2 linked regions of the Drosophila melanogaster genome follow. Changing the gene in region 2 together with the main gene of any one other region gives a genetic interaction. Each region holds a gene or a part of one and is shown on either strand. Other genes may lie near its edges. The genes, in order: ss and dan.

Region 1 (4,932 bases), 8.8 Mb from region 2:
AATTGTTTTTTTTTTTTGTCGTTTTTTGTTCTTTATCAGACTAGCAAGAACAGCGAATTACGCGACTGCCTGTCGATGGTGAAACGTATTAAGTTGAAGTTTTACGGCGTAGTCGGGAACTTTAATAAAAACGAAATTCAAGGAGAAGGGGAATTAAATTGCACACAAGGAACTTACTCTGAAGTGCACAACGCCTTGTACAAACAAATGTTTCAGTTTAAGTTGGTAAAGTTTTAATAGAAATAATATCATAATAACATATAAAGTTATTATTATCTATAAGGTCTATATCGAAATCTTTTAAAACATCTAATGTAAAATTTTAATACTAAAGCTAAGCGGTTAATAGTAAATATTCCCCGTAGAGTATCTTTGAAATGGAGCTATACTGTTAATAACTGGTTTACTAATCCGACTACAACTAAGTAGACGAACATTACACGCCATATTAGATGAGTTGGATAACCAATCTATCAACTGCGTGCTTATCCTAAATAGATCCTGGTTCTTCGCTTTTCCGAAGATAATCTACGCAGACCTGAGCTGCCCCGTTCTGCACCCTTTCAAGACTGAGGCGCTGAAGCTGATCAGTGGCTCTTGATTATGGGGGTCGCAACATTAGCGATCGGTGGTCTGCACTTGGCGAGGGGGCGTGGCCGGGCTGCAGTTGCCGCTCCTCGCCTTCTGCATATTTAGCAGTGCTGCTCATGATAATGCGTGAGTTCTCATATATTTATATTGAAAACATTATGCTTTGTGCGGTTGCAGCAGCTAAGTACACAAAATTATCAGAAATTATGTGCACCTTGGGACAGGCAGATTCCGATCTCCCCCAGCGAACAGCCGGAGGGGCCGCCGTCATCGTCATCATCATCAGCATGACCGTTCATCATCATCTCCATCAACTGTTTGGCTACTGTAATTTCACGGTAACCTGCCCCGACATGCATAATGCAAATCAATTTGAGGCTATCGGGCGGCAAAGGGGGAATTCACCGCCCTTCATTTCATCCGAGGGCCAAGTCAAAAGTCAATGGCGATGGCAATTTGTCAACAAAGTGGCCACCGGATCATTAATAATCGAATCTGGGGTATTCAAGACCAGTAGCTACGGAGATTGATGGATCGTCAGCGGGTGGCGCCACAAGGTGGCAAGCTGGTAAGTGGTAAGTGCAGCCAATCGCATTGATTGAAATCTTTCAGTAATAACAGAGCACCCAAGAACCCGCTCCACAAACATTCCGCCTCCCGCTGTGCATTTATATCTGAATCTGTATCCGTATCCGTATCTGTATCTTGGGATTCGGATCGGTATTGGTTTGTGGGATTGGACTGGGGCTTGGACTCACCTCTTGCCGTTGCGTCGCCTTCGCTTGGTGGCGTAGACGGTGCCCAGCTGGCTCATTGCTAGGGCGGAGTTCGTTATGGTCGCCGTCGTGAATGATTTTAACTCTTATTATTTTTCGTATCAATATTTCGTTGTTGTCTTCTGCTGCCTTCTGCTCGTCTGTCGTACAGGTTGTTTCCTCGTCGTGGCTTTCTTATTTCGCTTTTTTTCCTTTTGTAATTGGTTTTTATTTATTGATTTGGCTTGCTCTGGGTACACACTCTCACACACACGGACTCGCACACAGACACAGCCAGGAGCTGAGTGCGATCAGATCCGCTGAGATCCTGCTGCGGTTTTCGGTTTCGGAGTTGTAGCCACGCGTAAATTTCGTTTTTTTCTTCTTTGTATTTATTTTTAATTATCATCACGCTTACATTTTGTTTGCTTTTTCATTTCTCGCGCTCCTTTTGTTTTTGTTTTTTATTTTTTTGTGTATATTGCACTGTAGTTTCAGTTGGTTAGAGCTAAATGAGGGATTTAATGCGAAACTGTGATTCAGCAATTGAGAAAGGCTGGGAATTTTGATTTTTTTTTTCATTCGATTGTGGGTTGTATGATTTTCTAAGGCGATAACTTCGGTTCAACCTAATAGATTTTTTAAGTAATTAGTCCCGACGGAGAATGATTTCAGTTTATCTAAAATAAATCCAATTAGTTTAAGTTGGCAATGTCATGGAGCCGTTGTCTAATACGATTTGATTTTGCCTTGCATTGTAGAATAGTATAATATGATATTAAGGCTTTACTTTATTTTGAAAATTATATTTTGGTAAATTTTGAAAATATATTATTCATAAAAAGAATATATTTAAATTTGTTTCAATTTTTTCTCACAAAGGACTAAAAAAGTATAACAGATTATGTTAGCAAGTTATTAAACATCAGAGTCAACCAATAGTGTTGATTAATTTGAATGGCACATTCTAGTCAGAAAACTGTAAAAATCCCTCAATCCTTTTTCAATTGCTTTCAAAAACGAGTTGTTGTTTGTGTTGTTTTGTTTTGATTCGAGTGGCTGCGATTTGCAGGTTATTGTTTTGGTTCTTTCGTGGCAACACTTTTGCTTTTTCACTTGCACTTTTGCCGTTTGTGTTGGTAGTGTTGTTGCTCGTGGGCTCTGGTTTATCAATGGGCGATGTTTGCGATGACGACGCATGCAACAGAGGAAATCAAAATCGGCACGGAACCAAAAGCGCTAACGCAAGAACGGCACGCAAATCATTTTCATTTTGCGGCACGATCGACGTCGACGTAGGCAGATCCGCCGGCAGAGCAACCAGAGGCGAGTTGTCAAAGTGACATTTTTCAGGCACGCACACACACACGCGCGCGTGGGTGTGTTGGAATAGTAAAATAGATAGAAGTGAATGACCGCCGGCGGTCTGCAATTCGCACACGTGACTCCTCGAAGCCTTTACAGAACCTCCAGTTACAGGGTATCGCGTGCTGCGTTTCGCTTTTGTTTCTGTTTTCGCCTCTATTGTTGTTGTATTGCCTTATTCGGGGGACACTCACGCACACACAAACACGCACGCACCTTTTAGCGGGATTCTGGCGACGGCGAAACAACCGTTAGGAGGGAGCAGCGACTGCAACTGCACGCGAGCGCCAGAAGCGAGTGAATGAATGAACAACAGTGCCAAAAAAACGGACAAACGGGCATTTGAAACGAGGCACAAAGGCGATGGAGCGCGCTCTCTCACTCGCACTCGGCGCGGTGCTCTAAGTCGCTATCTCTCACTCGCACTCTTTCAAACGTGACTCTGCTGCGCTGCGGCCACGTAAACGCTTTGAGATTCCAACAAGAACTGAGCGGCGCCACGAAACGAATGGAAAAACCAGTCCTGGCGGAACACACTGGCCATGGAACACGCGGGCGGCGTGTTTGGGGCCACTTCCAGTCGTCCTGGCAACGAGCGATCGCCAAGCGACGCGGTCGCGTGGGAGTGAGACAGAGCGAACGATGTTCCACTACCAACCGTTCCAGCGTCGCCATACGTGCGACTGGAAGGGAGCGACCAACCAAGTCGGTCTTGGAAGTGCTGCAGCTATCTCGTTCGCACCCTGTAGTTTCGTTATAGGGGGCGTGTTCGCACACACATACTACACTGACAGCCTAGTAGCGCCGACTCTTTCCAGCGCACTACCAACTGGAAATAGAAATTCGGGGCACATCGCTCATCTCTTAATTAATTAGGCGGTAATTAAGAGCTATCAGTGTTATCGCTCAATGGCATCTATCCGCCATACTCTTCTCCTATTTCAAACTTATCTGAGCCGGATTTTACCTCGTTTTGCCACTGAAATGCAAATTTTATTTGGTGTGACCAAAACCATTAAGGCCATAAACATGAGCACTCACTTCGCGCTTATCGCGAATGATTTATTCACATGTGCCACCTGACAACCGCAAAAGAACAAGGAGAACGAAATGCACACCGCTGCCCTGCACAAAACCAGAAATCATATTCCTACACCTAGACGGGCAAAATGTCCGTGCCCAAGAACCCGATTGGACAGTGTACGAGGCCCCTTTATCCCATGGCCCATATGCTGCGTCCGTCTTTGACCGCATGTCACAGATGGCGATGGAGATGCACTCGTCAAAGGTACAGTTGGCACTCATAAAGAAGTTTTTAATAAGTAATTGTAATTAACTTTAATAACAATCTATACAAGCTATTCATTTTGTAATTAATATGATTACTGTGATTTACCAAATAATTTTATGTTTATTTTTAAAAGTTGGCGAAATGTTACGTTATGAACTTTTTCCTTTGAAAACGTGTTGCATACTTGGTGGCGCTGGAAAGCCACAATATTCGAGCCCTTTCAATCATGCAGCCCATTGTAGTTCATTTGTGTGGTTTCCTAATTTGATTACTTACGTCCACTCTAATAAAACATTATTATTGTTATCGAATGACCACTGTAGAATGCCTTCAATTTCGAAAAAGCATTTTTCTTTTATTGTGACGTCAGCCATGTACGAAATTGTTGGCACTGTATTTGTATTGCGTGCAACTATTCAATGCCAAGTCAGAAGGCTGAAGAAAACAATATTTCCTCAGCTAGAATCTCCAGCAGTCTGGTGTCTCACTCAAATCTCGCTGCGTAAACTAAGGACAACAGCAGCTCCGAAGACAGCAGGATCAGAAGAATCGGGAGAATCAGAAGAGGATCCACTCCGAAGAATGAGCAAAACAGAAGGCAGCGCATGTCAATCGGTGGCACTAATAAGTGAGCTGAGTCGAGTGGAGTGGAGTGAAGTGTAGCAAAGTGGAAGGGCTTGCAACCAGTTTTGGTGCGTTGCAACTTTTTCCAGCTTGCAGCTTATCAATTTACGCTTCCACTTCGTAAGAGAAGTGCACAGTGCAGGTGCTTATTCCACCTCCCTCTAAATATTCTTATTTTGCACTGCCTTTCCTCTTCTTGCATTATCGCTTTAAAGTACAGTCATCAATTGATCTTTAAAATTGAGGGCCAATATTATGACCTTACACCTAATACTGTAAAAAATAGCAAAATATATATAAGAACTG
Region 2 (5,141 bases):
AAGGAAAAGAATTTTTACTTTCGCTTTCTGCAGTGGGTCCGTCCTTGTCCTAGCCGGCTCGCCATTAAACTTTTCACGAACCGAACTGGGACAGTGAGAAGTGTGTAAAAAATCTAGTAACAACAGAAAAAGATGAAAGAAATAAATATAAAAGAATTACACCAAGTTTGTCAGTGTGTGTGTGAGTGAGTGTGTGTGGAAGGGGCCCGTCTGTGTCTGATGTTGCTGCTGTGCACACATGCACACTCACACACCCGAACACTTACACACACCTAGTCAGGACAGGACATATGTATGCCGGAATGGCCATACCCGTCAGTATGTCTGTAATGGCCAACCGTCTGGCCATTTCATCGTACACGTGAGTGTGTATGTGTGTGTGTGTGTGGGCTAAGAGCTTCTGATTTTCCTATATACAATTATAATTTTATTGTATTTACTATTTTTTTCGTTTCTTTGGCTTCGTATTGAACTCACTCACAGACACAGAGGGGCAATGCATGTGGCAATGTGGCAAGGACACCAAGGAGGGTCAAATGGGATGGGTCGGGATGAGCGAGGCGGGGGGAGGGGCAAGCGAAGGGGGGCAGGAGAGTCTGGCAAATGGAGGTCAACGACTGAAACTAGTACTAATATGTGCAAGCGTTTGATAGCTCCATTCGTTTGTGCTAATGCAGAAAGAAATAAAACACAAAAACGAGGCAACACATAAAAATAAGAATTCCGTAGATAAAAGAAAAAGTTGCTTTGGTCCAAACCCAATCGTGTGTTAGTGTGTGTGTGTCTGGGATGTCTGGGATGCTTCCCTCACCGCAGTTAAGTGTGTGCAAATAAACCATGTGTCTGCTGTAATGTTGGACCTGTTGGCACCAATGATCTATGTGGCTTTAAGCACTATTGCACCTTTTTTATTGTGTGTTTTCGTTTATGATTAGCCCGATTAATGTTGTGTCGGCATTTCGCAGTGGAACGAATTTATTAATTGTCGGGGGATTCAATATGAACTTTATCAAATTATCTAACTATGGTCTCATGTATGGGCAATACTATTTTAAACAATGAATCGATTTTCAGAATTACAGTTATATAATAAATAAATAAAAATATGTAAATCCTTTGATAATTTTCCTAGTGTTGAAATATCAGTGATGTTATGAATGATGTTGTTTTACAACACTGAAATGCTAATGATGTACGAGAAAAATATAATTATAAATAAAATAAAAAATAAGAAAGATAATAATAAGCAACTTTATTAAATACTTTCTAATTTATAAAACAAGATGAGAATAGTGACACAGAAGCGTTCAACAACTAAACGGATAGGAAAATAACTTTTTACCATAAATACAATCAAAAAGTATTGCATACATTAAGGGGCCAATAAAACCGGTTTCCTGTGTTTGTTAATATTGCAATTCAATATAAACTTGGTAGATAAAGGAAATCTAACTAAAACTCTTTAGTTATATAAAATTTACATTTTTTCAAGCTTATTTTACAAACCAAGTATCATATGGACAAAGTAATATTTGAATCTAAACTCGGAGGTAAAAAAATTAAATAAAAAATTAAAAATATTAATTTTTGATGGAAAGCAAATTTAAGTAATTGCTAACGCAGTGTTAGGAGGTAAATAATAAAATTACATAAGATATTAATGTTATACACAATATCTATCACTCCTGAATATTATTATAAATAAATATGAATAAATACTTTCTCGTAAAATATTTCCTGCTCTTTTGTATAAAAAAGTTGTTAAGTTGTTATTTGAAGGACCTACTAAGATTTGTACTTATTAATTTATAAAATGTGGCAACTATTCAAATACACAAAGAACTGCACTTATATTGTTTTCCAAATTGTGTAAAAATAATTCGTTTTTGTTATGTAGAAAGGTAAACAATAAATCTTCAAAACTAATCTCTCGAAAAACTTTTTATGTTTGGTTTCCGATTTAAATAAATATTTTTTGATTATTTAATATTTTTTCTTGTGTCACCAATTCTTCAAGTTGTGTTTAAAACACTCAGTTAACTGTTATTAATTAATGCAGAACTAACAATTACACTTTACGGATTGCTCAATTCACCGGTGAAATCAAATACTAACCTTTTAGTTATCTTCCGGGGGCGAAAATGGATCGGTGCCTTCTTCCAGCGAAGGCGGGAGAAATTCGGTGATAGCGCAACTATTTGCAGCAGTTAAATTATTCTTATCTCGACCGGCGATGTTTTTAAATCACTTTACTTATAGTTCACATGGATTTGAATTTATTGTTTTCAGTTAATGTTGTTGTTCATTTGAAAGTATAACATCACTCGGTCAATCACAATCGAACACTGTGCTCGCGATGCGGCGTGATGTTTACCGCTGCTGTGGCGTGCGAATTTTAGCGGCAGGACATGCGGTGCGGTGCGGTGCGACCTCTCTCTCGCGCTCGTCGAAGGATATTGTGATATTGTGACGCTGCGTCGCTGTGACGTGGATGTGCGAACCTGAGCGGCTAGCGTGCGGCGACAAACTACCGCGGCGGACTTGAGTGAATTTTGATTTTAGCGCGGCGAATTTCCGCACGGCGACGACGGCGGCGACGTCACGGGAAATTTAAAGTCGCACGTCCACGAAATGCGGCGTTTCGTTCTCACTCACATACACAAGCACACTCGCAGATATATGCGTCCTGCAGTGGTGGTTGTGTGCTGGTCAGTTGGTCTGCCTTGGTATTAGTAGTTTTGTAGTTGTCGTTTTTGTTTCTTTCACGTGTGCGTGAGTCGCTCTCTCTCGCTCCCTCTCTCGGACTCTCTTTCGCCCGCTCTCTTTCGCTCTCACTGTTGCGAAATTCGCGGCCTTTTTCGGTGACAGCCAAATGTACAATGATTAATAACGGTCAAGACGGCGGCGAAGAAGTCCTCTCGCTTTGGCTGCCCCGTTCGCAATATTCGCATTTTGGCATTTTCGCATTTTGGCCGGCCCAACCACAGGCCAGTGTCCACTCACACACACACATATCGAGCACACATACTAACACAGCACATCCTCCCACACACACACACACACACGTGCGGACACACAGCTGTGTGCAACGAAGACGACGCAATACTCGTGCTAGGCTTTTTGAGATTGAGAGACGCACATCCTTTTCGGCCTCCTTTCTTGCGCCCACGTGTGTGTGTGAGCACAGAGAGAAAAATCTTGATACCTTAGTAAAGATAATGTTATTAAATTTGGTAAGAATTCGAAATTTAGTATAATAATTTAGCAATTTTGTATCTCTTAGTTATGTACATATATTCCATGATTATAACTATGAAAATGAAATTTCATACAAATAAACGAATAGATGATACGATCGCTTGTGATGAAAAGTATATATTACTTTTCTGCCAAGCTTATATTTCCTTGTATTCTGTATTAGTTTTAGGTAAAATCTAGATTTTTTCCAGTGTAAGACTGTGTGCAACCTCAGGAGGCATTTGCTTGCGTTTAGCTAAGCCATTTTCTGCTTCCTTAAACGCTGGGCAACAACTATCAAACGAGCAACGGATCTGCGAGAAGAACGTGAAAAACCTAGCCGAAATCCCTGTCTAATTTTCGCAGTAGGGGGTGCGCCTTTTATCGTCACTGATAATTCTGCTAGTTTTCCCGCTGTCATGTGCTGCAGTTGTTGCTGTTGTGATTGCGGCCAGTTTTCCTCGCTTTGTTTTGATACATGCCTTCATCGCAGATTACGTGGGCTCGCCTCTCTTTCGCGACCGTTTCGCAAAGAGCTGAGGCAAATGAGAACCGAACATCCTCTTCCTTAAGAGAGAGAGAGAGAGAGAGGGAGAGAGCCAGTGAGAGAGCAGCTTTCGTCCTCGTCTTCGGCTTTTTGCCGCCCGAACCGAACGAAGTTATGACGGCAGGAGGTGGTGACCCCACGGGGAAACCCCCCTTGGGAAACCCACATTCTTGAAAACAAGGCGAATCCGTCCAACAGAGTGGCTTTCTTGGCTCTTTTCGTCGCTCTTTTCGCTGGAGCGTGACCGGCGATCGCCGAAGGAACCGGAATTCTCGAACGGACACTCGATCGCAAAGATATGGGCATGACATAGTGGTTGTTTCTCCATCGACTTTTGCAGGCAAATTGCTGCGGTTTAGAAATGTCAGATGGCGAAATAATCGAATTCAAATTGTGGGACAAGAAACTAATCAGCTGCAAATTTCAGGTGATAGCCAGCTTCAAAATATGTATTTCCCATATTTAGCTACCAAGAATAATATAATTGTAGTGTATATAGGTAGGCAGGACAATAACTTATGTTTTCCATTAAAGTGCCGACATATTCATACATATTCATATACTTAGTGCACAACATATTCAATGCTTGGTATACACCAATGTTTAACATGGTTACGCATTAAGATGTTTAGGTTCCTTGTAATATTAATTACCGAGCTGATAAGCTCTAGGTAGGAATAAAAAACCATGTTAAATAGATTGTTGATATCATTCCCAAGCAAGTTTCAAGTCAAAGTGTATTTTGATTAGTTCTGCGAGAGAAGAAAAACCTGACAAGTATTTGCACCATCGTGGGATAGCCCCGAGATTACGATCTTATATAATGCGTGTGTACACATAGGCATTTTGAGGTCGTAGACTTAGTAGTTGCTATGCAAAACATTTGCGCAGAGCACACACACAATCGCACATACATAGCTCCCTATTTCCCTATTGTATCTGGCCAACGAAGGCGGCCACTGACCATAATAACAACAACGGCAACGAAAAAGACAGCAGCAGTGTCGCCAGAGTTGCTAGTTGCTGCCTTTCGGGAAATCGCTAAGAAAGGTTTTTGAATCCATGTCCGAAACGCACAATCACACGTACACGCACAGCCACACGCACACGAAAACACAGGCCCAAGGATATAGTGTAGTCGTACATATAAGTAGAGGCGTATACACAACAAGGAGCAACAATAACGCAGGACTACGGAATACGGACAGCGGACAACGGACGACGGACGACGGACTACGGACGACCACGAGTATAGATGGCCGGCATGGGGCCGCATTGGCAAGAAACATATCCTTGCCACTAAAAAGCCAAGCAGCCTGCCCGGGTCGCTTCATTTCGTCACACACACACACCCGCA

The links.
Region 1: of dan (region 2) and ss, changing one suppresses a phenotype caused by changing the other (phenotypic suppression), as found in Drosophila melanogaster (one study listed by BioGRID).

The regions. Positions count from the first base shown.
Region 1 is NT_033777.3:16,400,491-16,405,422, forward strand, and holds the start of ss (spineless), read right to left. Parts: upstream 3,201-4,932; 5' UTR 2,928-3,200; exon of another isoform or gene 2,906-2,927; intron 1,855-2,905; 5' UTR 1,406-1,854; coding exon 1,350-1,405; intron 1-1,349.
Region 2 is NT_033777.3:25,182,404-25,187,544, reverse strand, and holds the start of dan (distal antenna), read right to left. Parts: upstream 3,163-5,141; 5' UTR 2,116-3,162; intron 1-2,115. UniProt on the Drosophila melanogaster protein: Probable transcription factor with a role in the retinal determination (RD) network. Regulates ato expression and is required for normal R8 induction and differentiation.